7 linked regions of the Xenopus tropicalis genome follow. The protein of the gene in region 2 purifies or fractionates together with the protein of the main gene of each other region. This does not show direct contact. Links are inferred from orthologs where the notes say so. Each region holds a gene or a part of one and is shown on either strand. Other genes may lie near its edges. The genes, in order: smarca5, ezh2, ddx5, usp44, smarca1, arid1a and pabpc4.

Region 1 (4,590 bases), on a different chromosome or scaffold from region 2:
TGGAAAATTCTTTTTTTTTGGTTTCATGGCTCACTTTAAAGGAGAAGGAAAGGCTAAGTCACTTGGGGGTGCCAACATGTTAGGCACCCCCAAGTGATTTTAATCGCTTACCTTGTACCCCGGGCTGGTGCCCGTTAGGAGAAAACAGCACCAGCTCGGGGTACCTGTAGCGAGCACTTCCTCCTTCCTGCTTCGTTTTGCCGGCAAATTCCCGGGACCGGCGCATGCGCATTTGAGTGAAAAGCCAACTTCTCTGTTAAAGTTCGGCTTTTCACTCTACTGCGCATGTGTACGCGAGCGAAGCCGGAAGGAGGAATCGCTGCTACCCCGGGCTGGTGCTGTTCTCTCCGTACAGGGGCACCAGCCCGGGGTAGAAGGTAAGAGATTAAAGTCACTGGGGGTGCCTAACATTTTGGCTCCTCCAAGTGACTTTGCCTTTCCCTCTCCTTTAAAGTTTGACCACAAGGGTGTTTGAGTATTTTGATTATATTACACTAGATCAGTGATCCCCACCAGTGGCTCGGGGGCAACATGTTGGATGTTGCTCTCAGTGACCCCAAACCAGGGAGTTATTGTTGAATTCCTGACTTGGGGGCAAGTTTTGGTTTAATAAAAACAAGATTTCCTACCAAATAAAGCCCCCTGTAAGCTGATAGGGTGCATAGAGGCCCCTAATAGCCAATCACGGCCCTTATTTGGCACCTCCATGAACTTTTATGGTGCTTGTGTTGCTCCCCAAGTCTTTTTACATGACTGTGGCTCCCGCGTAGGAAAGGTTGGGGATCCCTGGACTAAATGTTCATTTTTCTTATTCCCTTGTAGCTTTCAGCGCCAATCTGTGTTGTTTATTTGAGGATCCAGCTTTGAAAAGCTGTGAATCAGATCGGCAAACTAACCTTTTTAAAAAGTGAACTTATCCTTTGACTATTCCCAAACTTCATATAGCATACACAGGGCGGCACTGGAAAGCCTGATTAAGGGGCAGAATCAGCCCTGTATAGAGCCCCAATGTTTCTCATAACAGCCCCCTGGGCAATACCTTAGTTTCTTAGTATAGCCTATTCTATCTCATACTAATGGTATTCCTAAAATAACTTGAAATGACCCCTTATTTTGAAAGACTAGAAGTTCACGTTTACTAGGGTGTGAAAATGAAAAATATTTCATTTGTAGATGTTTGGTTTAAGGTACATTGTAGAAAACAATCCCCATTCTCAACCTACATGACAAACTCCTAAGAGGGCAGAGTACAAACCCGCTAAATGCGACATACACTGTACCCAACCATTGACAACAAACTATTCTCGCGAGATTTTAGGCAGAAACATCCCCGTAAACCCGGCAATTTAGAAGCCCGCCCCTTTTTTCCCGCCTCCCATTCAATCTGTAGACACGCCCATTATTCCACTCTTGCGCGGGTACAATAGTTTTTTTTATGCGCGCCGCCGCTGCCTCTGCCATATGGGCCACTCGCATCACCCTAGCGTAGGCTTGCGGGGCCAAATCTCGCGGGATCTGGTCTCGGCTCCCTAGTAAAGCTTAGATCTCGCGAGATCTCAAACGGATTGGTGCGTTTTTTTCCCCTCTCCCTGGTGACGCGCGCTGTCGATCAAAGAGGGAAAAAGCCGGCACATTGCGAGTGCGCTCTCCTACGCGCCCCCTACGCTCTCTTCCTAGTGGCTCCCGCCAGCAGCGTGTGGGATTACACACGCATCCATTCAAGGATCGCGCTTTACTCCGGGTTTCTCATTAAACCCCCTGCCTCGTTGTGTGAGCCCCGCGTTGGACGGACGGTGTTAGTAGATCCTGATCATGTCCGCGGAAGGCACCGAGCAGCAGCCGGCTCCGGACACCGTAGCGAAAGAGGAAAAAGGAGAAGCAAAGGAGGCTATGGAAGTAGATACGGGCGATCAGGCGAAACAAGAGCCGGGCGGAGACGCAGTTAAAGAGGAAGCGATGGAGGTAAGAGGAGCCGGCCCAGGCAGCACGCACTTTATGGCTCCTACCAAGGAACTCAAACTTCTTCTTTATCTTGAACGTCATTATTTTAACCATCTCCTGGCCGCTGAGAGTTGTAGTTTTTCAGCAGCTAGATATGTCTTATCTGCTCATTCACTTGCGTATGTGAGAACCTGTAGAGTTAAAGCGGACCTCTCTGTCCCATTGAAATGTCCAGCCGTGAGTGCGCATGTGCGCGGTAGCCGGGCTTCTGCCTCACGGTACCTCTCATTTCCTATATATATATATATATATATATATTATAAGTATTGGCTAGGTGTGGTGCTTCGCACTCTCTTAGCATTGGGCTTCTCATTGTTCCAAAAGTCATTCTAAAGCCCCAGCGGCTCCTCCCAGTACGGGGCGTGGCTACTGTTAGTGCTGGTCGCTCTCCAGGCCTCCAACTCTTTGTTAGCTGACATGCTATACTACATTTCCATCATCCTGCTGCCAGCCTTTCTATCGGCTCACGGAACATGTACAAGGAGTAGTGCCGATATCTGTGGCCTCTTACGTAATTTTTCTAATGGAGATTCTTATGTGTTCCTAGTTCACTTACTGCTGATCATTTATCAGCAATCTGCATCTGGACAGTAACCCATAGCAACCAATCAGAGATGAGCTTTTTTTCATCCTTCTTCAGTTAGAACAATAATAGCAAACTTTGATCGATTGTCATGGGTTAATGCAAGGGTGCAAGTTTTAACCAACTTTATCAAATAAACTCTACTCACTTTTCTCATTTAAGTTATTAACTGTATGCAAGATCTTTTCTGCCCTTGATCTAAATTAGTTATCTTTGTGTTCCTGTTTTTCAGCCTTTTGGCTTTATTTTTATTCGCCTGACTTATTATAAATAGTTGATGGAATACTGTATTTCTAAGCAATCAGTTCTCCCTGTTCAATGAACAGCTGTTTGTAGTCAGTCCCTGTTTATTGGGCCTGTGGGGACTGTTTGGCTTTCTTTGCACCTGATAAACCAGGGTTTATTTCATTTCCCAGTCCAGTCATTTAATAGTTCTTGCCAGTGTTCTCCCCAGAAAAAAAATAAATGTGATATAGCTGAGGTTAAGGGGGCTTAACCCATTTATTATCCAAATGGGTAAAAGTCCAGCCCATCTGTTCCACTTCCTCCGTTCCCAGGCCATGCAGCACTTTGCACTGTAGGATTGAAGCCAATCAGCAATTAGGCTGACCTGATAGGGAACTGAAGCCTATCTGTGCAGAGGTGTGTGTGCTATCCTACTGTGCTTCTGGCAGGGAAAGTTAGAACATGCCCACACTGCATTTGAAACACAGGCAGGGACCCGAGAGAATCTATAGGAAGCTCTGATAAAGGGTTCATTTTTACAGATAGTGGTATTAAAGACCAAAGTGAAACCAGCACCATATAGTATTCATAATTGCCTACAAGATTAGAGATTTTTTCATTTATCCTATGTCTCCTTTAACGTCTATTAGCCCCTTTATTAGGGGGCAAATCTAAATACATAAGTACCAGAATATATACATAATAGACATTTAAGGACTTATGAATAGACGTTTAAAATTTATGCACTATAACCAGTCCGTAATCCCATGATTTTCAACAGTGGAAAGTCACAAATTCAGTTACATTACCAGTTTTTACATATCTCTTAAATTTAGACTAAAGGCCCCCTTACACGGGCCGATAGAAGCTGCCGATATCGGTCCCTTGGACCGGCTCGGCAGCTTATCTGCCCGTGTAGGGGCAGAAACGAGCGGGCTGGCCGACCGATATCTGGCCTGAAATTGGCCAGATATCGATCGGCCAGGTTAAAAGATTCAGTCGGATCGGAGGCCGCATCAGCTCGTTGATGCGGTCCCCGAACCGACTGCCCCATTGCTGCCTACATAATCCGGTCGTTTGGCCCCAGGGCCAAACAATCGGATTATTTTTTTTTTTAACTTCAAGCTAGCTCAAGTGTATCGCTAGTAGGGAAGAAATTGCCAGCCAGGTAAAAATAGGCCTTGGTGGGGATAAAAATTAAATGTTCCTGCCCCTAAAAGAAAAACTTTAACAGAAGCTAAGAGGACTGTGTGCTTCTTCAAATGCATCGCACTGTCCTTCCAACTTCTGTAACAGAAATTTCATCTACATAAGAGGTGGGGAAAACTTTGGCTGTTTGCCTTGTGTAAGGAAATAAAAAGGGCAGATTTGTTATTTGTTCCCTGAAATCGCGGAAGTTTCCTCTCAAGACAACTTCCGCTATTTCAGGGAAATCGCGGCGCCACGTATGCCATCCCACCGGTAATTTGCATTTTCGCCAGTGGGATGGCATTTCGGGGAGATTAGTTGCCCGTGAACAGGGAGATTTGTTGCGGGCGACTAATCTCCCCGTGTGCCAGAGCCCTTAAGATGACCACACACGTGGCGATTTTTGATCTTTCTGTTGCACGAAAGATCGTTCCAACCCACCCTGACATTCAGGGCTGAATCATCAGATATGGAAAAGTAGAAACAATAGGATTTCTACCTCCTTCTGTCAATTCAGCCGTGAAGGCAGATTTTACTCAGGCGCCTTCAATGGCGCCCGATCAAAATCTTTTAACCCGCCCGATCGGCGAGTC
Region 2 (3,888 bases):
GCTGCTAAAGGAGAAGATAGAAAGAGAAGAAAACTGCACTGGCCTGGGGTAAATGCAGGTGAGCGATGCTGGGTTTTCGGTAAGCAATTACAAGCACTGGGGGGTGCTCTAACATTTGGCACCCCCTACTGATTTAGCCTTTCTTTTTCCTTTTAAATGAGAAGGAAAGCGAAAAATCGCGGGGGGTGCCAAATGTTGAGCACCTCCAGTGACTTTAATCGCTTACCTTTTTACCTCAGCCTGGTGCTCCTGTTAGGTGAAAACCGCACAAGCCTGGGGTAGCTGTAGCGAGTGTTTCCTTTTCGTCTTTTGAATCCCGGGGCTGGTACATGCGCAGTAAAGTGTTAAAGTTCAGCTTTTCATTCAACCGCACAAGCGTGCGAAGACCGAAGAAGGAAGAGGAGATGCTACCCCTGGCTGGTGCTGTTTTCTTCTCACAGGAGCACCAGCCCGAGGTAAAAGGTAAGCTTAAAGTCACCGGGGTGTGCCTAACATTTTGGCCTTCATCAAACGTTAAGCACCAATGTGCCTTCATCAAACATTAAGCACCATAAACTTTTCTAGTGTCTGTCAAATGATAGCTTATACTGCATTAGAAAAAAAAAAAGTGAGGCTGATATATTGACATGTTTTATTCAAACTGGAAACCTTGACATGAATCACTCATTTCATTCTAGTATTTATTGTAATCACTTTTTGCACTTGAGCTATAATTATCATGAATATAAATGTCAGAGGTAACTCAGCATGAAAAGTAAAAATGTTGTGTTGCTACCAACTGTGGACTCGGCAATTCTCTCCAAACACTCCTTTTATAAATAGGATGATTTTACTTGAAAGTGTATACTTTATGCCCCAGAGCCTTCACCCTGACAAGATAACTGTTATGGAGCAGCAACACCAACAAAAATGCAGTCTGTGTTTGTAGCCTGCAAAGTATGCTTTTTTTAATTATTTATGCATTCTCTGTAATTCAGCATACTAATGGGGAGGTGCAAAGTCTTGGGTTGCTGCGTTTATTTTTTTTTGTTTAGTTTATGTCATATGCTTTATTGTCATTTTCTTACAGACTAGTACTTCAGAAATGAATAAGCCTTTTTATTTTTTAGATACAAGGAATTAACAGAACAACAGCTTCCAGGGGCACTTCCACCAGAGTGCACCCCAAATATAGATGGGCCAAATGCAAAATCTGTGCAACGAGAGCAGAGTCTTCATTCATTCCATACCCTGTTTTGTAGGCGATGTTTTAAGTATGATTGTTTTCTGCACCGTAAGTAGTTTCTATATTAAAGTTTACAATGCAAAATATGCAGTTTAAGGGGCTGATTTATCAAAGTACGCTTGGGTCCGAATACTGTGCATATTTTCTGTGTTTTTTCATTAATTTCCACAACTTTTTTGTACTTTGCGACAATTTGTGTGACAAAATCGTATTTGTCGCAACAAGTACAAAAGTTTTGGAATTCATTCAAGCTTCGGTATCATGACTTTCCTTGGGCCAGGGTGGAGCTGCAGAGTGCCATTGAGTCCTATGGGAGGCACATAGACAGAAGGATCAAAGTCAGAATGTTTTTTGCGCCATTTACGATCGTTCAGATATGAACATATGAATGTCCAAAATTCAGACTTTGATAAATGGGCCCCTAAGTTTGGAGCTATGTAGTGCTAAAACTGTAGACTTCAAATATGACTAAAAAAAAAATTAAGATTTTCAAATAATTTAGAAACATACCAAAAATTGTATTTAGGTTAGCCTAAACATCTACTAGTTTTTTTTATCTAGTTATGTAATTTTTATGTCCGACAAACTTTTGGAGCTCCATTACCTTATGGCTTTTCCATAGTTATCAATATGTCAATTTTTCCATTTTTTTGTACCAAGTTCTTGCCTTTTTTTGTTGGTGGAGATCATGGGGGAATAAATATTGTAAGCACAAACTGATGTAGTTAAGGAAACTGCATGTTGATCAGGGCCCTGTATATGTAAGCCCTTCAGAGTCTAAAAAAATATTGTCTCTGTTTAACAGCATTTCATGCTACTCCTAATACTTACAAACGGAAGAACAATGAAGCAGCAAATGATGGAAAACCTTGTGGACCACACTGCTACCAGCTTTTGGTATGTTGCTTGGAATTCATTTTATATGCATTACTGATGTGCTTATCTAAATCACTGCATTTTAATATATGTAATATGTTGTCTATTACTTCTCAAAGTTTGGCCCCAGGGCTACTGTGCATTGCTGAAGATCCTTTACCAAACATATAAAACAAGCCACTAGCAGTGTCTCTGACCTGGTCACATAGTCTAATAGTAAGGCTTCCAAGCCAGACTGAGTACAGGTTGTGCCTGCCAATTTCATTTTTCCCAAATACTTTCTACTTTACTATAGTGAAGATGTAGGTAACTGAAAAGCTATATCGAATAATATGTTTTTAAAAAATGTTCTTATCTGCATCCTTAATGTCTTGATATTGCTTAGCTGAAGAATTTTGCTTTGTTGTGACGGGGAAAAGAACTTGATAAACAGTTTTAGGGGATTTGTCACTCTTTTCTCTGTCTGCCAATGCAGTTGTTTTTTGCATTCATGCCTTCTTTTCTTTATTTAGATATTTCTTTTTTTGGCCCGTGGCACAATTATGCTGTGAATGGTTTAAAATAGTTACCTCAAACCTAAATAGTCATGACGCTATGTTAAGTGGTACTTTGCCTCAAAACTGTAGTGGTTTCCTGGCTATCTGAAAGACATTTATTTGGCACTACGTTATCTCCTGGGAAATTTGTAGACACAAAGTGTTTTGAGAAAATCTTTTTTCCCAGTGATACACTCACTAGAATGAACAATACAGCTGTATGGAAAGCTTCTTTTCTCTGGAGTAATATAAACAGATGTATGTGTTTTTTGTAGAGTTTCATTCTAGGCTTTGGCTAAAAATATTATTCTCAGAGGGCAATGTAGCTTAATTTTGTCTGTTACTAGTGCAAACTGTTGTGGGTAAATTCATGTTAAAAGATTCCAAAACCTTATTTTGTGAACAATTAATTTTCTTATCACAACGCAATAATTTGCGAAGACAAAAAAAGCAACAAAAAACTCCACCTCAGGCAGGCAGTTACATAGACAGAGCTCACTGTTGAGTTCAAGCACACTCAAAGGTTAAATCATTTAGAAAGAAATACAGTTAAATAGATTTATACTGAGTTTTTATAGCCTGCCCTAAAGCAATTACAGTTAAAGAAAAAAAAAAATGTATTCTCTTGTGAAAAAATAAACTTGCTTTGTCTTGTATTGCATGTACAGTGGCTTGCAAAAGTATTCGGCCCCCTTGAACTTTTCCACATTTTGTCACATTACAGCCACAAACATGAATCAATTTTATTGGAATTCCACGTGAAAGACCAATACAAAGTGGTGTACATGTGAGAAGTGGAACGAAAATCATACATGATTCCAAACATTTTTTACAAATAAATAACTGCAAAGTGGGGTGTGTGTAGTTATTCAGCCCCCTTTGGTCTGAGTGCAGTCAGTTGCCCATAGACATTGCCTGATGAGTGCTAATGACTAAATAGAGTGCACCTGTGTGTAATCTAATGTCAGTACAAATACAGCTGCTCTGTAACGGCCTCAGAGGTTGTCTAAGAGAATATTGGGAGCAACAACACCATGAAGTCCAAAGAACACACCAGACAGGTCAGGGATAAAGTTATTGAGAAATTTAAAGCAGGCTTAGGCTACAAAAAGATTTCCAAAGCCTTGAACATCCCACGGAGCACTGTTCAAGCGATCATTCAGAAATGGAAGGAGTATGGCACAACTGTAAACCTACCAAGACAAGGCCGTCCACCTAAACTCACAGGCCGAACAAGGAGAGCGCTGATCA
Region 3 (4,396 bases), on a different chromosome or scaffold from region 2:
GGGGGAGGAAGTGGCAGGGACACAGTGGGGAGGAAGTGCAGGGACACAGTGGGGAGGAAGTGGCAGGGACACAGTGGGGAGGAATTGGCAGGGACAGAGTGGGGAAGGAATTGGCAGGGACACAGTGGGGGGAATTTGCAGGGACACAGTGGGGAGGAATTGGCAGGGACAGAGTGGGAAGAATTGGCAGGGACACAGTGGGGAGGGGAATTGGCAGGGACACAGTGGGGAGGAATTGGCAGGGGCACAGTGGGAGAAGTGGCAGGGACACAGTGGGGAGAGATTGGCAGGGGCACAGTGGGGGAGGAAGTGGCAGGGGACACAGTGGGGAGGAAGTGCAGGGACACAGTGGGGAGGAATTGGCAGGGACACAGTGGGGAGGAATTGGCAGGGCACAGTGGGGAGGAATTGGCAGGACACAGTGGGGAGGAAGTGGCAGGGACACAGTGGGGAGGAATTGGCAGGGCACAGTGGGGAGAAGTGGAGGGCAGGCAGTGGGGAGGAAGTGGCAGGGACACAGTGGGGAGGAAGTGGCAGGGACACAGTGGGGAGGAAGTGGCAGGGGCACAGTGGGGAGGAAGTGGCAGGGGCACAGTGGGGAGGAAGTGGCAGGGACACAGTGGGGAGGAATTGGCAGGGACACAGTGGGGAGGAAGTGGCAGGGACACAGTGGGGAGGAAGTGGCAGGGACACAGTGGGGAGGAAGTGGCAGGGACACAGTGGGGAGGAAGTGGCAGGGACACAGTGGGGAGGAATTGGCAGGGCTCCTCAGCAGTAGGAACAAAACCTTGAGCGGGAAGGCTCAAGCACTTACTAATGGGGACTGTATGTAGCCCGTATATGTATGAGGCAATATAGTTGTACCCATTGGGTGTGCCTGGCGGGGCTAATAAGGGAACACAGCCTTACTGGCCTTGCCTCATCCCACGCAACACACACTGACTAACATGAGCCACAGATAATAAAATTCCGGGAAAAGGCGCATTGCCGGTCACATGGTCACATCGCTTAGTCTCTGCCGCCATCTTTACTTTGGGCCGGTGTCCCGCTACCAGTACGTGGTCGATATCCCGCTACAAAAGCGGGAGCAGCCGCTGCCCCACGCTCACGGTTCAGTTTGCAATATCGTTGGGGCGGAAGCCAGGAAAAAGGTTAACACCGAGCGGCTGGTCGGTTTTTCTACTTGTTGGACAGGTTTCCCTGAAGCAATATGGCGGCGGTAGGTCAAGGCCCCGCCCCGCGGAGGAATATGGTGACGTCAGTTGCCGGCCGGCCTTATATAAGGTGTGTGCGCGCTGCGTGTTACTTCCCTTCCTGCCGAGCCCTCCCGTCTGTACAGCCGCTCCCGGAACGCCCTTTGTGTAACGCCATGCCCGGATTCAACGACAGGGACCGCGCCCGGGACAGGGGGTACGTACTCGGGGGTCTCCCCGTGAGGTGCCGGCAGCTTCTGGCAGAGGCCAGTGGGGAGTTTGTTTGGGCTTAATGTTTCCGCCCGATGGCGGCTGGTACGGTAGGTAGGCATTATGGGATGTGTGTGTGTGGGGGGCCCATGAGTAACGGGGCTTCCGAGCGATGGATTGTATTGTTCGGCTCCCGGGAGGCGGGGCTCGGCGAGACAAGATGGCGGAGGCACCAGTTGCGGCTCTTTGTCTCTGCACAAAATGGCGGCGGGGGGGGGAAGGGCTCTCCTTCTATTGCCTTGTCTGGCGCTTGTACTGCCCTCCGTACTTGTACTGCCCTCACTCCCTGCCGCCTCCCCGCCGCCTCACTCCCCTCTCCCCGGCCGCCTCACTCCCCTCTCCCCGGCCGCCTCACTCCCCTCTCCCCGGGGCCGCCTCACTCCCCTCTCCCCGGGGCCGCCTCACTCCCCTCTCCCCCGGGCCGCCTCACTCCCCTCTCCCCCGGGGCCGCCTCACTCCCCTCTCCCCCGGGGCCGCCTCACTCCCCTCTCCCCGGGGCCGCCTCACTCCCCTCTCCCTGCCGCTTTATTCTTTTATCTTCCTTTGTCGCTATTTATCCTGGCAGCTGTTTATCTACCCGGGTGTATTCCCCTGGTACTTCCCCCATAGCAACTGCCCTATTGTGTGGCATCTCTATCTGCCTGGGTATATTCCCATAGCAACTATCCTATTGTGTTGCACCTTCTTGTGCTATCTGCCTGGGTATATTCCTTTGGTACTGCTCCCATAGTACCTGCCCTATTGTGTGGCCTCTGTCTGCCTGGGTATATTCCCATAGCACCTGCCCTATTGTGTGGCCTCTGTCTGCCTGGGTATATTCCCATAGCAACTGCCCTATTGTGTGGCATCTGTCTGCCTGGGTATATTCCCATAGTACCTGCCCTATTGTGTGGCCTCTGTCTGCCTGGGTATATTCCCATAGCAACTGCCCTATTGTGTGGCATCTGTCTGCCTGGGTATATTCCCATAGTACCTGCCCTATTGTGTGGCATCTGTCTGCCTGGGTATATTCCCATAGTACCTGTCCTATTGTGTGGCATCTGTCTGCCTGGGTATATTCCCATAGTACCTGCCCTATTGTGTGGCATCTGTCTGCCTGGGTATATTCCCATAGTACCTGCCCTATTGTGTGGCATCTGTCTGCCTGGGTATATTCCCATAGTACCTGCCCTATTGTGTGGCATCTGTCTGCCTGGGTATATTCCCATAGTACCTGTCCTATTGTGTGGCATCTGTCTGCCTGGGTATATTCCCATAGTACCTGTCCTATTGTGTGGCATCTGTCTGCCTGGGTATATTCCCATAGTACCTGCCCTATTGTGTGGCATCTGTCTGCCTGGGTATATTCCCATAGTACCTGTCCTATTGTGTGGCATCTGTCTGCCTGGGTATATTCCCATAGTACCTGCCCTATTGTGTGGCATCTGTCTGCCTGGGTATATTCCCATAGTACCTGCCCTATTGTGTGGCACGCTGCTGGCATATCTGTGTAGTGTCCCCTGGGTATGATCAGTCTGCCTGTAACCAGGAACAAGGTGTACTTGCAGAATATCCCTGCTGGGTTTATAGACTCTCCTACAGTTGCCCCATGCTGGGGCAGAGCTCTCACCTAGCAGTACCTGCAGTCTGGGTGCAACTGCTCCTTGCACTGCTGATTAGGCAACCACTTGGCACCTCCCTCTGTCGGTTTATGTAACACTGGCACGGCATGCCCTCAGGGAACCTACTTGGCATATACCCAGCACAGTTCAGTGGCCATTTTGCATAGGCCTCTCTCCCCTGGGGTTCTGCGCAGTAATGGGAAGGAAGGTGATGCTTCTAACTTAAAAACAAATTATCATTTTCCTGATGGCTTTTCTGGGTCTGATTATGGGCCTAGTGAGGTGCCAGGATGGAATCCTGTAAAGGACCAGGACTGGCATTGGCTGCACTAAAAATAAATGCTTTTTTCTGGCAGTGCCCATTTGTTGTGCCTGCTCATGGAATAGCTGAGGGCCGCACCTCTGTTAAATATACTGCCTGCCAGATATGTGTTGCATCTGATCAGTGTGTGCTGTCTCTGCTCTAAAGCTGGCCACACGTGGTCGCACGAAAGATCGTTCCAACCCTCCACTGACGTTCAGGGCTGAATCGTCCGATAGAGGTAGAAACAATAGGATTTCTGCAGATTCAGCCGTGAAAATAGATTTTGCTCAGGTGTCTTTAATGGAGCCTCCTGCGATCTTGCCATACACGCACCGAATATAAACAAGGTTGGTGTGTGTATGGCCAACTTTACTCTGGGGCTGTCTGAGAGTTGGCTTTGGAGCCCAGGCTTCTCTTTGCCAATGGTGGGATCTCCCCCTAAAGCAGAGTAGTTTGTAGCTTCCTGTGTATTCTTAGTGACTGCATATGAATGGCCCCTTGCATATCGGAGAGCATTGTCCTGCTCTGCATGGCCATTGTCAGTAGGGCAGTACCAAGCCAGGAGTCTGCTTTGTCGCCCAGTTGGTTCTTATTGTTTGCATTGACCCTTTTGTCTTATATTCAGATTTGGAGGTGGTCCTCGCTTTGGGGGAAACCGAGGTGGTACATCTGGCAAATATGGAAACCCTGGGGAGCGGCTTATGAAGAAGAAATGGAACCTGGATGAACTGCCCAAATTTGAGAAGAATTTCTATCAAGAACATCCAGATGTTGTGAGACGGACACCGGTGAGTTTGCTGCCTGATTGGGATGAACCAGCTTGGCACTGGGTACCTCTCACAGCTATCTGCACATTAGGAAGGCTTCTTATTGTATGTTTCAGCTAACATGGGCTGTGCCCTAGGTGTATGGCACCATCTTTTCATAGAAACTGCCTGGCTGGCTAGCACGGGTGGTTATTATGTATTGTAAATGATTGCTATGGAGATCAGTGCTTTGTCCTGTCCTGCTGCTGTTGGATAGGGTGG
Region 4 (3,888 bases), on a different chromosome or scaffold from region 2:
TCTTCATTTTGAAGAAAGGCTTGTGCACCTTCATGTGAAATGAATGAATCATCTGCAGTTACCATAGACCGCAAAGTCCGACCACTACGTGTTGTACAGTCATAGTTCTGACTTTTGATAGCACTTAACGTGCTTCGTAAAAGTTTAAGGTCACCAGTGGTGTTGTCATTGAGAACATAATCATCACAGAGGTAACAAAAAACGTAAAGTTCATTAACCTCCAAAGCCAAAGGATGCTTACTGTCCTGAAAGTGTCGCAGTGCATGCTCTTCAATGTATCGACCACACGCAACATGTGAACAGCTTAGGCAAGCCCACACGGATTCGGTAGTGTTGCAATCCACACAGTGCCACTTTTGAGGGTTCAAAATTGAATGATCTTGGGCGAGACGCAATCGGCCAACATGTTTACATTTATCCATTTTCAGTTTTCAGATTCAGGTGTCAGCTAAGCTGCAGTTGATCTGTTGCATTTTGCACATACATTCTGACCTGCAAAATACACCAAGAAGTCATGATTATTAAACCTGTATGTAACTTCTTGAGTAAAACTCTCTAACCTTAGTTATGTATATCTCTAGAAATATTTGTAGACACCTATAACAATACTTATAATAAAACAGATGAGTCCTTAGTGTTACCATGTTAAGTAAAGCATTAGTGAGTAAAAGACAGAGAATCCTGGTGTGGGATTTTAATAACACTAAGCTAAATAAAGAACTGTGAGGCCAGCGACAGCATGCATATTAGTTTAAATAAAGGATAGTAAATGCCAAGTGTGTTTACACATACCTCAAGAAAAACTAGCATTTTTATAGTGTTTTTAACAGGAACAAAACTGTGTGTGGTATTATGGAAACTACCCTGTCAACAAAATAATTCCAGATAATGTTCTGCAAACCGCACTGGCACACTAGTTCATAGAAAGACAACCCCTGTATGCTGATCTTTGCCTCCTCAGAAGAGTTCCACTGGCACCAGTTTAAATATATGTCAAGTCTTTAAAATTTATTAGTGGTATATTAATAAAGAAATTTTCAATTAAGTCACATCAGGTATCACATATCACACAAACTAAATTTTACCCAAACCTAACAAATACAGAGAGAACACTTTCTATAAAGACATAGACTAGTTAAACATTAAAGGGCAAATTATTGGACAATACAGATTATATGTACAGGCTGTATGGTTGCTTGTAGGACAGCTAAGATCATAAACTACTTTTGTACAACAGTTTCCAGCATCCTGCTGGAAGGCTGCAGTTTACCTTTATCTTTTTTGTAGAGGATGCCAAGAACTCCTAATTATATATTTTGATTCCAAAGCAGTTACCTTGGAATTTCATGACCTGCTTCTTTATGAGGTGAAGGGGAATGAGATCACTCAGTCCACAAACAAACTATTATTACAAATAAAAACTGAGGTGCTTATAGTAGTGGATACATTATCCAAGCCACAGTAGAGTGATGACACAAGCGTAGGAGCAGATTCTTGGCATACTTTTATCTGCAGGCCAAGACCCTGCCTGATAAGGCATAAGTCTTACGGGAATTTGACAGCAACTTATCATGCAGCAACTAAATTGATGTCACTTAAATACTATAAGGGCTCTGGCACACAGGAAGAATAGTCGCCCGCGACAAATTCTTGTCACGGGCGACTAATCTCCCCGAACTACCATCCCACCAGCGAAAATGTAAGTCGCCGGTGGGATCACCGGCGACTTACATTTTCGCCGGTGGGATGGGAATTCGGGGAGATTAGTTGCCGCAAACAGGGAGGTTTGTCGCGGGTGACTAATCTCCCCGTGTGCCAGAGCCCTAACTGTGTTTTATCTTCAAATAAGATTCAGTTTTGGGTCATGCAAGCTAAACGGAATGTAAATGAGTACTGGTACAATGTGAGACTAGACAAGCCCTATGCATGAACCAAATTCTCCTATGTGGGCTTATCTAAAATAGCAAACTTACTCATTTCAGCAGTAAGCTAAACTGGTGCTGGGAAGTGTACAGGTCACAAAGGTTCCTAGAGGCACAAATTCTTGTGCTGATTTTTAATCTCAACTGCTTTTACTCAGCAGAACAAGAATTTATTACAGTTAACCTATAATCTGCTCTTGATAAAAATAAGGAAATCAGCAGGAGTAGCTGAAACGTCACAAATAAAAGATGACTGATCACCGTTGTGTGCATTAAATTGCATTATATATGCATATGCTTTACCTTTGCTAAGTACTGTATAAAGGGCCACCATGATGCAACTTGCCCATTCATTAGGTAAGAATGCAATCCAACTCAAACTAAACACTTTAGTCTAAAGGATGTATAAAACACATTTAATTGGATAGAATACATGGTACCAGTGGCTGTTCTAAAGGTGAAAACTGACAGAATTGGTGTATAGTTAACATTCTAAAAAGTAGACAAAAACTGTCATCACTGCCTCGAGTACAAACCAAATAAAAGCTTAAGAACAGCACACAGTATTGTTATATCAGTGTAAATTGCTGTAAATCTGTGCAATTACTATCAGTGCTTCTGTGTTCGCCCCACTTTGTAAATTACTAGGGTAGGTGAAACACCGCTATTAAAGGGTCGTGATAACCTAGCATTTCCTGCTGAACTGTACGTAGCACAGAAAAACTGGCCTTGTTATTTACACAAACCTAAGAAGCAATCCCTTCTCTGAAAAATTAGATGTACAGTCTGGTTTGGCTGTCCATGCTCCTAAAAGGCATGATACCAGAAGCGCAAGGGAGATTTGTCACGGGCGACTAGTCTTCCCGTGTGCCAGAGCCCTTACTCTCACTTTTTTCAAATGGATTAAACCAGGGATCCCCAACCTTCTTTACTCGTAAACCACACTCGGGTGTAAAAAGTGTTGGTGAGCCACACAAGCATGAAAAAAGTTTTTTAGGGTGCCAAAAAAGGGCTGTGATTGGCTATTTGGTAGCCCCATGGACTGCTGTCCTGCAGGAAGCTCTGTTTGGAGTAAAACTGCTTCCAAAACTTGCCTCCAAGCCAGAAATGTAAAAATGGGCACCTGCTCTTAGGCAACATGTTGCTCATGAGTCACTGGTTGGGGATCACTGAATCAAACAGGAGGGTACGAGATAAACAAATCTTGTGGTCAGAAAGCCTGAGAGGCGGCGCGATTTCGGGAAATCGCCGAAAAAGACATTTGCGCTAAATCGCGCCGCCGCGTCTGCCATCCCGCCGGCGACTTACATGTTCGCCGGTGGGATGGCAGGGGGAAGGCAACTCGGGGAGATTAGTCGCCCGCGAGCAGGGAGTTTTGCCGCGGGCGACTAATCTCCCCGTGTACCAGAGCCCTAAAGGTCCCCATACACGAGCAGATCCGCCCGCTAAACTAAGACCTATGGCACAACAGGGACAAGGTGGACTCCACTGAACTGAATGACAGGCCAAGCAGCTATTATTATTTATTATTAACATTTATTTATAAAGCGCCAACATATTCCGCAGCGCTGTACAATAAGTGGGTTTCATACATTGGACATACAGAGTAACATATAAAGCAATCAATAATCGATACAAGAGGTGAAGAAGGCCCTGCCCAAAAGAGCTTACAATCTACAAGGAGAAAGGGTTGACACACAAGGTGTGACCTGGAACTTCTGTGCCATATGCAAAATGTCTGCGGTAAACATGCCCAGTGTGTTTGTATGCATTATAAGCAAATTAGTATTACTATGCTAAGGGAAATCAAGTAATGCCTAGTAAAAAGCCTTTGCATTGGGTAATTGCTAAAAATTATTTGAGAGAGGCAGCCACTGCTGGGTGGCATGAATGCGATCTACGTAGTCAGAGTGATTTAGTAAAAATAAAAAACAAACACTTCCTAAATCTTACCTTAGGCTAATGC
Region 5 (3,480 bases), on a different chromosome or scaffold from region 2:
ATACTTAGGGATACGGCCCGAGTTGGGGGAGTTTTTGTTCATCCATGGGGAGCCCATTAACATGCTTTCAGTTTATTCGGGTACTGCGGATGGGTTTACAGGCAGTAGTAGCACAGCCGGCTGACTTTGGCACTCACTCATTCTGCATTGGTGCAGCGATTGAAGCAGCGCGGTTGGGTGATGACACATTGATGAGAATCGGTAGGTGGGAGTCCAGGCGGTTTAAGAGCTACGTATGGCCAGCACTGCTGGTCTGATGTGTGGTACAGTTTATTGGTTAAAAAAAAAAAGGTTGGTTGGTACAAGGGGAATACCGTGTACCATATGTGATGGTGTTATTTGTGTTTACGTTTGGTTTTCCTTGAACAGGTGGCTGGATCACGGTGTGGCTGATTGGTCATTCATTCATCTGTCGGGCCAGAAGTAGAGCAACAGTTAAAAAACCTGGATTGCAGCTGGGCTTTCCCAAAGGCAAGGTGGGAGTGCATTGGTTTGGTGTTCAGGGCATGCGGTGGCCAGGGGTCTGGTCCCCCCTGCTTCAAAAGGCAAAGCCCGGGAAGCGCCCGGACATTTTGGTAATACATGCTGGAGGGAACGATATGGGGTTAGTTCCTCAGAGGGAGTTGGATAGGATAAGGCGTATGTTTCCGGACATAGTGACCATCTGGTCAGAGATGGTGCAGCGGTTAGTGTGGAGGCATGCCAGGGATGGGCAGAGGATGGAGAGAAGGTTCTGGAGGGAAAATTACCCGGTTATTATTGGAAGGATGGGGTCCATTTGTCGGAAGTAGGGACTGACTTGTTTAACCTGGCACTGGGTGAGGGTAATGAGAGGTCCCTAGTAAAGCTAGTTGGCGGGTCATGGCGTCCTTGAGGAGTCAAGCAGCCAAGCCTGTGGCAGAGGGTACCTTACTCCGTGCCCCCAGGGGGAAGTTTAAGGGGGGTACTTGTCAATGAGAGTGTAGCCCAGTTGGCCTGCAGTCCTGATCGGAAGGCAGTTAGCCTCGGTTTAGGTTGGGGGAAAAGGTGGCAGTAACCAGGCGTTTCATTTGGGCGCAGGGCCAGTCCCTGTGAGGCGAGTAAGGATTGTCGTTACTGTAAATGTTGGTTACTGTAAATGTTTGTTATACAAACGGTTTTGTACAAATTAATAAAGTTACAAATGTTAACTGATGTAAAGTTTTATTGTTAATAAATAAATAACTGCAGTCTTCTTTTCCCAGCTACAGTGTCCAAGTGTGTTGTTTGGGTGAATGGGTTAAGGGCGTGGGGGAAAAAGGGGGGGGGGGGGGGTAAGGGCTGCAGACTCAAGGCTGCACCTGTCATGGTCCCGGGAGGTAAGGGTTTGATTGAGACCTACTTTGCTTCTGCTTGCCCATACCAGTAGGGTTTTTATTGGGTACTATTAACAAGTATTCCAGTTTCTGAATATTATGTGTTGCAATTTTTAAAGTCATTTTACTGTTCATGTTATTAGCAAACTAGTTAATAAGGCTGAAGCCTTTTAAATCCACCCTGGGATCTTAGGGACAGATGTATCAAAATGCCCCTGAGTGTCTTCTTCATTTAAAATATAAGGTAAGGGGAAGATTGTACGTGATTATGATGAAAGGCTGCCTTGAAGAAAACATGCCTACCATTGGTTTACTGTTAGGTCACAGCTAAATACCCTAAGCCCAAAGGAGTTTACAATATATATGTTTCTGTTAGGATGAAAAAATGAAATTTGCAAACTGTGTTGTCATGGTGTTGCCATTAATTCCAAATTGCTTCAAGTTTAATGGCATGTAATGGCAATAATATTAAATTGTTTCGTATATTAATGGACACCTAATGGATGGAATGTGGCAGACAAATCATACAGTAAATAATTATTAGAGTTGGAAGTGTTTCATGCTACGTGACATTGTTTTATGTTTTATTCTTGCCATTAGGAGCTGCAAAGACGCTGCAATACTCTTATATCGCTGATAGAAAAAGAAAACCTAGAGATCGAAGAGAAAGAAAGAGCAGAGAAAAAGAAACGACAGCCAAAGCCACAGGTAAAAACTAACTATAGGGTTATTAAGTTGTGAAAAATGCATTGTTTATTTTTTTTAAGTTGCCTTTTATGCACATACCGGTTAATTTTAAATGTTAAAGTTTCACTGATAACCCTCGTGCAGTTAGTTAGGGATTGCTATCTTTCCCTGAAAACACTATTACTTATTGTATCTTTCATATCAATGAGACCAACTATAGCAGTGGTAGTAATATTATATTAGTAATATTTTAAAGACAGATAAGGCAAAATATGTGATGATTTCACATATCGTGACAGACATGTCAACAAAAACAGGTACTTTAATATAAGTAGATGCATGGAGGGGGAATCTAAATGGTAAATTAACATTTCTACATATCTGCAGCCATATTTATATTTGTGTTTCTGTCCTTGGATTTGGTTCTGCTTAGTTCTAATTATGTTTATTGTTCTTCAAAGATTTCCTTATGCATTTCAAATTTATTGTAAGATATTATTACAGTTTCTTTTTACCTTTTTTTTTTTTTGTTTGTTTTATTCTTCAGCCCTCTAAAAGAAAAGCAGACGTCGTACCTGACAGTTCTGGGAAAAAGGATGCCAAGAAAGCAAAATCCTAGTGCTAAATAATACCATGTATGTTATTATTTGTTGGGTACTAACAGCCATTTAATGTCCTGCAATGAGTTAATGATGCACATGTAAGGACTCTGCTGCTCTCTCTGTGCGTTAACAGAATAGCCAGAATGCATTCAAGTTTTGGCAGAATTTGTATATTTTATGCTTTTATGTATCTAGAAAATGTGTAGTATTTTCAGCTTTTCCCATAGTTACATGCATTGTATTTTGTGACATGTTTAACCAGTGCAGAGAGTTTTAGCTTTTGTATGTTTTATACTGTATGCTGCTGCTGCTGCTTTGAAATAAAAAGTAAATCTCTCCTGTGTCACCGTTGGTTTCTTTCTACAGAGAAGAGCACTTACATTTTAATTATTATTCCCAGGCTCAATAAACTGTTAGTGCTGTAAATACTCTCTGCCTTTGTTACTGGAAGTGGAAATAGAACATTAGCTGGAGCTGTTAAACATTCTAGAACTTTCACGTTGATTATTATTGTTAGGAGTCATGCACTGTCTAAACAATTGCTAAAAGCTCTTTTACAGATGTAAACAGCTCAATCTCTTTCTTTACTATTAGCCAGAAATCAGAAATACTTTTAGATATAACAAACTCCTCTTTTAACTTATTATCATTATTGTAAATAATATCTGACATGTAAGGATTGCAACTACTAAAAGTTGTGGCTGGACATGCAGCCACTTCATTTATAGAATTATTTTTAATATAAAAAGGTACTTTTTGTATTCAGTGGATTTCTATGGGACAGACTAAGGGGCTTAATGTTTGTGTTTTAAAGGGTAACTCCGCCCAAACACAACTTGAGCTTTTTGAAAAGTAAA
Region 6 (3,888 bases), on a different chromosome or scaffold from region 2:
GGTGCAGAGATCGCCAAGCGAGCGGATCTCTGCGTGTATGGGGACCTTAATTGTTTATAAAAGGAGTTGTACTGCAATATAAAATGTGATATATTTGATTGTACCCACTTTTCAAACCCTTTATGACATAGCCCCCATTTATTCTGTGATTTCAAGCGGTAAAAAACAAAAATGCTATTCTTGTTAAACTACCTTTGCCTGCTCCTATTTTTCCCACAGATGTCTCCATATACTCAGCAGGGTCCTGGGTCCTACTCTCAACAGAGCCAGTCTCCTTACTACAACCAGCAGAGCCTCCACCCTCCCCAGCAACCACAGACAACACCCCCACAAACCCAATATTCCCAGCAGCAATCAGGTCCTCAGTCTTATTCGCAGCAACAAGCTCCATCCTCCCAGCCAACCCCTACTCAATCGGGACAGCCCACATTTACTCAACAGCAGTCCCCATCCCCTTCACCGTACACTCAGCAGCAGGGTGCCCCCACCAGCTCACAGAGCCAGTCACCATATACCCAACAAACTGGCCAGTACACCTCTACACAGCAGCAGGTTTCATCTTATCCCTCGACAGGAGCACAACAATCGGGAACATACTCTCAACAGCGGTTTCCTCCACCACAGGTAAGACTAAGAGCTGTAGAACAATATTATCTGTTCTTGTAAATGAGTACTGCCTTCCACACCTTGTATTTGTCCTCCAGACATTTCTTGTACTTTAAGCACATTTAATGTTTCTCTCAGGAGCTCTCTCAGGATTCCTTCACATCACAAGCATCATCCACACCTTCTCTGGGCTCAAGCAAAGGCCAGGATGACTTGAGTATGGGAATGCAACCACGGCCTTCTAGTCTACCTGTAAGTAAAGTTCTTGTGTAAATTTCATTCTTGTTGGCAATTTTAGTGAAAATTGATTATCTACACGTTATCAATATAATTCTAATGTTTTAAATTGCATATGAGACCTTATATTCAAATTTCAGAGTTACAGAACTAATTTAAAATCAACTTCAAAACTCTCAGCACTGTCTAAAGCAAAATACATTTCATTTGTAGGTGCATATTTTCTCATCTCTTTACCAGTTATCCTTCAGTCTGTAATTAAATTGAGCTCAACTGAAGGTCTTAATACAGTATTTCTAGTTTGTAATCTGCTTTATTAATAGAATAGAACTCAAAGAAAAATTATACATTTTTAGATTGAACTTTATTTTTATTGTTAATTTAATTCATTTGTGTTGCATTATTTGTAATTTTAACACTTTTTTTTGTTCTAGGATCTTTCTGGTTCCATTGATGATCTCCCAATGGGTGCAGAAGGAGCTCTGAGTCCAGGAGTCAGCACATCTGGGATCTCCAGCAGCCAAGGCGAGCAGAGCAATCCTGCCCAGTCTCCTTTCTCACCGCATACTTCCCCACACCTCCCTGGCATTAGGGGTCCATCCCCTTCTCCTGTAGGTTCCCCAGCAAGTGTGGCACCATCTCGCTCTGGACCCCTCTCTCCAACTGCTGTCCCTGGTGAGTGCAGGGATGTCCTAAACTGGGGGTGGGGCGGGGGGGGGGGTGAAGAAGCACAGTTAAAGTGAGGATTAATAAATGATTATAAGTATGTGAATTATCTGGTTATAAATTGATAAGTGTCATTATGCTTTTTATGGAATTGTACATAAAACTTTACTGTTAATTTTACCTCTTCAGGAACTCAGATGCCCCCACGGCCCCCTAGTGGGCAGTCTGATGGCCTGATCCACCCTACGATGAACCAGGCTAGCCTTGGACAAGAGCGAGGTTTGTGAAGGTCTATAATGGACAGAAAAGACTGAGCTGTGCAACACTGCATTTATAACCATTTTTTCTTCTGCAACAGGATACATGCAGAGGAATGCACAGATACCTCAATACGGATCCCCTCAGCCTGGTCCTGCACTTTCTCCCCGCCAGTCAACAGCGGCACAAATGCATTCTGGGATGGGACCCTATCAACAAAATTCCATGGGAAGCTATGGTCCTCAGGGAGGACAGTATGGACCTCAAGGTTAGTGTTTTGCCTTAGTAGCTGCTTAGTCCCCACTAGTGTCTGTGGTTTTCTTAATATTCTTCTCGTTTTTTTTTTTTTTCTTAACATAGATTCCCCCCCTTTTTCCTCTTTCTCTCAAGCCTTTAATTTTAACTGCTCACTAGGGCTTAGTTACCAAAAGAACTAAGCAACAGTTTGGAAGTCAAAATAAAGAACAGTAGAGGAAATGAAAGGAATGTTTCCATGCTGGAGAGATGCAGAATAGGAATGACTCCTTTCTAAATAATGCATCTTTACACTTCTAGTATCCGCTAACCTTTGGGGGTCCGTATTTTCAGGATACTCTGTAGCTCTAAAATACATTGCCATCCTCAGTAGACTTCTAAGATGTACCAACTAGTCAAATGTAAATAATATGCATTTTAAAGGGATGGTATACACCTAAAAACCTTTGCTTAAAAGTAACACAATAAATGGGACTTTTGTTGAGGGTACATTCTGTCTATCTTTAAAGAAAAAACATACTTTAAGGGTTAGCAGACCGTAGATATTTCTTAATTAAAACAATTGGCAAAAAGTACCTTCAGCACAAGCCCTATTCATTTGAGCTCATGATACAAAGAAGTGTATATTGTCCCTTTAAAGGACATGTAAAACCCCACACACAAAAATGTAATCAGTGAACAGCCTCTTTGAAATCTTTCAATATCTGCCACCCTGGTTGTACTGGGGTTAATAGTAAGGCTGCAACATCCCCTTAATCACTTAGATTTCCTTCTCCTCCTGTAACCCACTCGGCCCCCTCCCTCAGGTATTTGCTTTGGCTGTTGGCTGGCGGGCATGCTCAGTTGTTCTAAGCTCAGATTACAAAACACGCCCTCCAGTCTAGCAGCCAGTGAAGAGATGGCATTGCTGGTTCCCATAGAAACTCAGCTCTAGCTGTCTGCTTCTGCTTTGCTTGAGCACTGTAATGGTAAAGCGGAGCTCAGGAGAAAAAAAATGAACTTTAATCAGACAGTTGTGCCTGTGTGAGCCTGTATTCTTGATGAAATGTATGCTGAATAAGGGTCTGTGTGTGTATGCTGTTTGCAGATTTAAATGTATATGATTATGTATCAGGGGAAAAATAGCCACCGGGTGACAGCTGCTATTTGCTTTAGGAAAATGTGATGGTGCTAGAAAAAAGAGGGGAGATATATGCAGTACAAATGATGCCATTTGGGTGGGGGAGACGTGCCCAACTGATATACATTGTAGGCAAATGTAAGCTTTACATGTTCTTTAATATCTGGGTGTTACTGTTATTACTTGAGCTGTGCACTGGATGTTCAGGTAGCCAGTGGAGTGCATATATTTGTCACATTGTTCTGTAAGTATATGCTTAAAATTGATTATATGCCATGGTACCATTTTATAGGCACCTTTTATATAGAGCACTTGCTCTTTGCTATATGAACTATGTTTCTAATGTTTTGTACCCTTCTCAGTCACAATTTTCCTTTTCAGCTAGTTATATTCTTAATGAACCACATTCACATTACAGCGAAGTAGTAAAATCTTGTAGGTTGGGGGTGTGGTATAAAAAAAAAATTATATGTAGATTTGTTTTTATTTAATTCTATTCATAATTGAATAAGTGTAAATGTTCCCACACTTTTATAATATCAGATGTCGGTGGGGTGTAGCTGGAGCAAAATGGTTTTCTTTTTTTTCTTTTTTTTTTTTTTTTTTTTTTAAAAAGATTCAAGACAAATTGCTAAACTTGCAGCATTTAATTCTTTGGGGTTTAAAAAAAAATGTTTTTAGCCTATAGAGCTATGTTTTAGCAACTGGATGACAGGGAGGGAATTTTTGGGGTGTTTCTTATTCCA
Region 7 (4,358 bases), on a different chromosome or scaffold from region 2:
TAGACACATACAAACACTAAAGCTGATGCCCCACTGAGTGAGTTAGTCACCTGCAATGTATCTCTGCTATCGCAGGCAACAAACCAATCCAAAATGCCTTCCACCAGCAACAATAGGAGCTGCCAGTGGAAAGGCCTTCACATTGTTTCGGTTTGCCTGTAGCAAGAAACTTTGCACAACTTCCGAAAACCAAAGCAATGTGAAGGCCTTTCCACCGGCGACTCCTTTTGTTGCCAGTAGAAAGGCATTTTGGAGTGGTTAGTTGCCCACGCTAGCAGAGATCTATCGCAGGAGACTAAAGGCGGCCATACAGGGGCCGATTGTAGCTGCCGATATCGGTCCCTTGAACCGATTCGGCATCTTATCACCCCGTGTAGGGGCAGAAACGACGGCCATACCTGACCGATATCTGGACTGAATTAGAGCAGATATCAATCGGGCAGGTTAAAAGACTCAGTCAGATCGGGGACCGCATCGGCTCGTTGATGCGGTCCCCGAACTGACTGCGCCATTGCTGCCGTTATAATTTGATCGAATTAGCCTACATTTTCCCCGATATTGCCCACCCGTAGGTGGGGATATCGGGACAAGATCCGCTCACTTGGCGACCTCGCCAAGCGAGCGGATCTTAACGTGTATGGGCACCTTAACTTGTCCGTGGGGCATCAGCCTAATACATATTCATTTATAGTAAAGGATAGTCATCAAAATACTTTTATATAAATGTAAAAAGACTGTAGTATTAGATGGGAATGGATAAAGTTACTTTGCATTTATAAAAACAAAATTATAGACCTTGCGGTACTGAACTGCACATGATAGATAATTTATGTGACTATTACTACCTCCATTATCATATGCAACATACTATTATTGGTACAGGTATGGGACCGGTTATCCAGAATGCTCGGGACCTGTGGTTTTCCAGATAAGGGATCTTTCTGTAATTTGGATCTCCATAACTTAAATCTGCTAAACATCATTTAAATATTGAATAAACCCAATAGGCTTGTTTTGCCTCCAATAAGAACTAATTGTATCTTAGTTGTGATCAAGTACAAGGTACTGTTTTCTTATTACAGAGAAAAAGGAAATAATTTATAAAAATTATAATTATTTGCTTATAATGGAGTCTATAGGCAATGGCCTTTGGGAAATTTCCTGGATAATGGGTTTCCGGATAAGGGATCCCATACCTATATATGCAATGCCCTTATTGCTAATCCTAACACTGCTGTAACCTGCCATACCGTTTAACACCTTTAAAGATACATTTTTTCTGAAACAAACAATAGTGAATATCTTAAATACCCTTTTTGGTTATTTCTTGATTCATATACACTTCTAAATATAGCTAGACAATTTTCCAATAATGGGGATATAAAGTCAAAACCTTGACTTAGGGTTTATATATAGCCCTATGATAGGAAAGCACTATGAGAGATGTTGTTCTAATAAAAAAAAAAAAAAAAATCAGATGGCAAAGCAGTTAAAACAGCTAACTGGAGCTCTGTACTCCTCAGTGTCTGCAGCTGAATGAGGAGTGGGTGTGTTTCACGCTCTACTCATGTTTTACTTCCTTATCTGTGACTGACTTGCTCTTATCAGCAACTGGCCAATGACAACCCAGTAAACAAGCTCCTGTACTTTTTTAAAGTCTAGTATAGTACAGTCCCTGCTTCTGTTTTATTTTTTCAAGTCTAGTACAGAACAGTCCTCTACTTTTTTCACATCAGGACAACCACTGGCACAATAGGTTTCCAGGAGCTGTGATCAGAACTCAATTCAGGGGAATAGCATAAGATACAAAATACAAAGGCTTCTAATTAAAAAACGGTAGAGAATTTTTGACGGGGTTATATTACAAGATTATTCCATTTGCAATAATAATAATAATAATAATGAAAAATAATAATATGGCATGGGCTTACATTATATCATTTAATGTTGTGTTTTGCAGCTCTCTGGTTTTGGAGTTTAGAGGTGGCTGTAAAAAGGGTGCTGTACATGGAAGGATAAATCACTGGGATGCAATGAACCAAAAGGGGCACATCTGACCTGAAGAACAAATAGGACATTGCATCTGAGAACACATTACTAACTGATGAGTTTTGTAAGTGTAAATACATCCTTAATTATAGCCTATGAATAACATTATGTGAGATGTTTGCAATGTATCAGATTGATTAAGACAAACGAATGTATCAAAGTTAAAAAAGGTTGAGTGGGACCAAATACACTTGCTAGAAACCTAGACTTTGGAGTAACCACCTTTTATATAAATTCAGAATAAAATATTTAAAAAGAACACAAAAAGTCCAACTGCAAAGGGACCATGAAAGCATTCAAAAACAACAACACAAAAACACCAACTGCAAAGTGACCATGAAAGCATTCAAAAAAACAACACAAAAAGACCAACTGCAAAGTGACCATGAAAGCAGACATCCATCCTGTCAAAAAGCAGATTTCCATACTCACCATCGGCAGGCTGTTGGAAGTTGACATAGGCATAGCCCAGAGAGCGGCGGGTAATCATGTCCCTGCACACACGGATGGACAAGACTGGTCCCGCAGGGCTGAACTTCTCATAGAGCATGGCCTCGGTAACATCGGGGTGCAAATCCCCCACATAAAGGGACGCCATGGGGTAACTGCTAGCAGCTGTGTGCATCACCCAGCCAGGGGGCAGCGACCAACTACCGGACGGCTAAATTGAATATGATCTCCACAGGAGATGTAATAAATATTAAGGCTTCGGTAAGTCAGGGAAGTGCTTGCTTTGACTTGCCTATACACTCCAGCAACTGAGATGTAGAGGCGCAGGAGCTGGGCTGGCACCGATCGTAGTGGATGTTTAAAAGCTTGCTGTGGTATCTGCGGGGGGCTAATGTATGTTGCTGGCCAAGATTCCTATCAGGTGTTGCGAATGCCGCCTTATGGTAACAGGAGTAGACAGGAGACGCTAAATAACTGGCCTAATAAAGTGCAAGAACAGCGGTGCGTCTGCGGTATCAATGTACCTAAATATGCAACACGAATGAATCAGGGCGGGTTAAGAGCGTATGTTTATAAAGACAATTCACAGGCGCAACCCAAATATTTATGTTTCAGTGCACGATCGGTTTGCCCTGTTACTCGATCACCATCAGGCAGCAAACTCTAGCCAGCTCCCCGCACCACAGCGAGGACAAAAGAGACCGGTTGTCACTTGCTGCGCAGCTTTTATATCCGGGTCGCGCCACCACTAACCCTGAGCTTGAGCGCACAGCGCCCTCTATGGACCTCCAGCCGTACAACGTGCCACCGAACGTCTACTAACCCGGCAGCCATCTTAAGTGTGGCAGTCTGTGAGCATGCAAAGTGTAGGACATAGGACGCAATTTTTTTTTAAAGAAAATCTGGCTCTGCCGCTCTTTTCAGCTACTCTTTAGGGAAATGTGATCCGAGTGACTGTACAATAAGCCGGTTCATTGGATAACTAGAGGTCAAGTGGCTATAAACATTTAAAATATATACGAAAGCACAGCTGTATTGGTCCTTCAGCCAAAAATATTTACGTCTATAAAAAGTTTCCTGAAATAGCTTTTTCCACAGAGAAAGAAAATGTAATTCTTAGCAACTCATGTACATTAATCAAAATACTGATTTTAGCTGACATGGCCTCTGGTGGTTAAAATGCTCTGTATGCCACTGCCCTAATAACTAAGATTGCTAGTATAAGCAATGCAGATATATTTGTTTTAGGATAACAATTGCAGGCAGTTTCAATTTACAACAACTTATATAATTATTAGCTTTCCAATGAAAGGCCTTCAGTTGGCATCCTAAAACAAAATGTTTGGCATCCTCCCCCAAGTATCAATAAAGAGCTATTGTGGCTTTTGGCACTTTGGAACTATTGACAGTGGCCAGGCCTGACATGGGATTCAAAACAGGCCCCTAGCATTCCAAGTACACAGAGCCCAAACAGCCCCCTTCAGCCCAACAGTGACTGTCTGTCGCTGTTTTACAGTAACCCCTCTGGCATTTGCCAGAATCCACAGATGCCCAGGCCCATGCACTGGCTACATAATTAGATGATGATGAGGGGGGGGGGGGGGTATGATTGACAGCTGGGATTTTAAAATGCTTTTATAATGGGTATGGATGTGTTATTAAAAAATAGAATTTGTGTTTCATGTGTAAGCTTATAGTAAATTAGCCCTTTAATTACCACAAGCTACACCGTATTTTACCCAGGATGAGACTGTATCCCATAGGGGTGAGCCCTCGCTTTGTATGGAGGCCAGGTGGATATGTGTTGTATTTCTCAATAAATGGGCGCCAGTGGTTCTTAACATTGAAACCATGAACTG

What was found.
Region 1: the proteins of ezh2 (region 2) and smarca5 purify together in Homo sapiens (affinity purification with mass spectrometry, with the first as the bait; 3 studies listed by BioGRID). This does not show direct contact. The link is inferred for Xenopus tropicalis from reciprocal best matches to the Homo sapiens genes EZH2 and SMARCA5.
Region 3: the proteins of ezh2 (region 2) and ddx5 purify together in Homo sapiens (affinity purification with mass spectrometry; 4 studies listed by BioGRID, with this or other methods). This does not show direct contact. The link is inferred for Xenopus tropicalis from reciprocal best matches to the Homo sapiens genes EZH2 and DDX5.
Region 4: the proteins of ezh2 (region 2) and usp44 purify together in Homo sapiens (affinity purification with western blotting; 3 studies listed by BioGRID, with this or other methods). This does not show direct contact. The link is inferred for Xenopus tropicalis from reciprocal best matches to the Homo sapiens genes EZH2 and USP44.
Region 5: the proteins of ezh2 (region 2) and smarca1 purify together in Homo sapiens (affinity purification with mass spectrometry, with the first as the bait; 3 studies listed by BioGRID). This does not show direct contact. The link is inferred for Xenopus tropicalis from reciprocal best matches to the Homo sapiens genes EZH2 and SMARCA1.
Region 6: the proteins of ezh2 (region 2) and arid1a purify together in Homo sapiens (affinity purification with mass spectrometry; 3 studies listed by BioGRID, with this or other methods). This does not show direct contact. The link is inferred for Xenopus tropicalis from reciprocal best matches to the Homo sapiens genes EZH2 and ARID1A.
Region 7: the proteins of ezh2 (region 2) and pabpc4 purify together in Homo sapiens (affinity purification with mass spectrometry, with the first as the bait; 3 studies listed by BioGRID). This does not show direct contact. The link is inferred for Xenopus tropicalis from reciprocal best matches to the Homo sapiens genes EZH2 and PABPC4.

What each region holds. Positions count from the first base shown.
Region 1 is NC_030677.2:59,238,777-59,243,366, reverse strand, and holds the start of smarca5 (SWI/SNF-related matrix-associated actin-dependent regulator of chromatin subfamily A member 5), read left to right. Parts: upstream 1-1,663; 5' UTR 1,664-1,812; coding exon 1,813-1,962; intron 1,963-4,590. UniProt on the Homo sapiens protein: ATPase that possesses intrinsic ATP-dependent nucleosome-remodeling activity.
Region 2 is NC_030682.2:55,155,767-55,159,654, forward strand, and holds part of ezh2 (histone-lysine N-methyltransferase EZH2), read left to right. Parts: intron 1-1,109; coding exon 1,110-1,273; intron 1,274-2,030; coding exon 2,031-2,122; intron 2,123-3,888. UniProt on the Homo sapiens protein: Polycomb group (PcG) protein. Catalytic subunit of the PRC2/EED-EZH2 complex, which methylates 'Lys-9' (H3K9me) and 'Lys-27' (H3K27me) of histone H3, leading to transcriptional repression of the affected target gene.
Region 3 is NC_030686.2:51,533,212-51,537,607, forward strand, and holds the start of ddx5 (probable ATP-dependent RNA helicase DDX5), read left to right. Parts: upstream 1-1,351; 5' UTR 1,352-1,369; coding exon 1,370-1,410; intron 1,411-3,993; coding exon 3,994-4,156; intron 4,157-4,396. UniProt on the Homo sapiens protein: Involved in the alternative regulation of pre-mRNA splicing; its RNA helicase activity is necessary for increasing tau exon 10 inclusion and occurs in a RBM4-dependent manner. Binds to the tau pre-mRNA in the stem-loop region downstream of exon 10.
Region 4 is NC_030679.2:56,839,043-56,842,930, forward strand, and holds part of usp44 (ubiquitin carboxyl-terminal hydrolase 44), read right to left. Parts: intron 493-3,888; 5' UTR 423-492; coding exon 1-422.
Region 5 is NC_030684.2:50,383,104-50,386,583, reverse strand, and holds the end of smarca1 (probable global transcription activator SNF2L1), read left to right. Parts: intron 1-1,934; coding exon 1,935-2,042; intron 2,043-2,568; coding exon 2,569-2,640; 3' UTR 2,641-2,966; downstream 2,967-3,480.
Region 6 is NC_030678.2:77,712,628-77,716,515, forward strand, and holds part of arid1a (AT-rich interactive domain-containing protein 1A), read left to right. Parts: intron 1-219; coding exon 220-624; intron 625-744; coding exon 745-858; intron 859-1,277; coding exon 1,278-1,518; intron 1,519-1,698; coding exon 1,699-1,788; intron 1,789-1,867; coding exon 1,868-2,035; intron 2,036-3,888. UniProt on the Homo sapiens protein: Involved in transcriptional activation and repression of select genes by chromatin remodeling (alteration of DNA-nucleosome topology).
Region 7 is NC_030678.2:91,020,082-91,024,439, reverse strand, and holds the start of pabpc4 (polyadenylate-binding protein 4), read right to left. Parts: upstream 3,167-4,358; 5' UTR 2,675-3,166; coding exon 2,482-2,674; intron 2,059-2,481; exon of another isoform or gene 1,932-2,058; intron 1-1,931.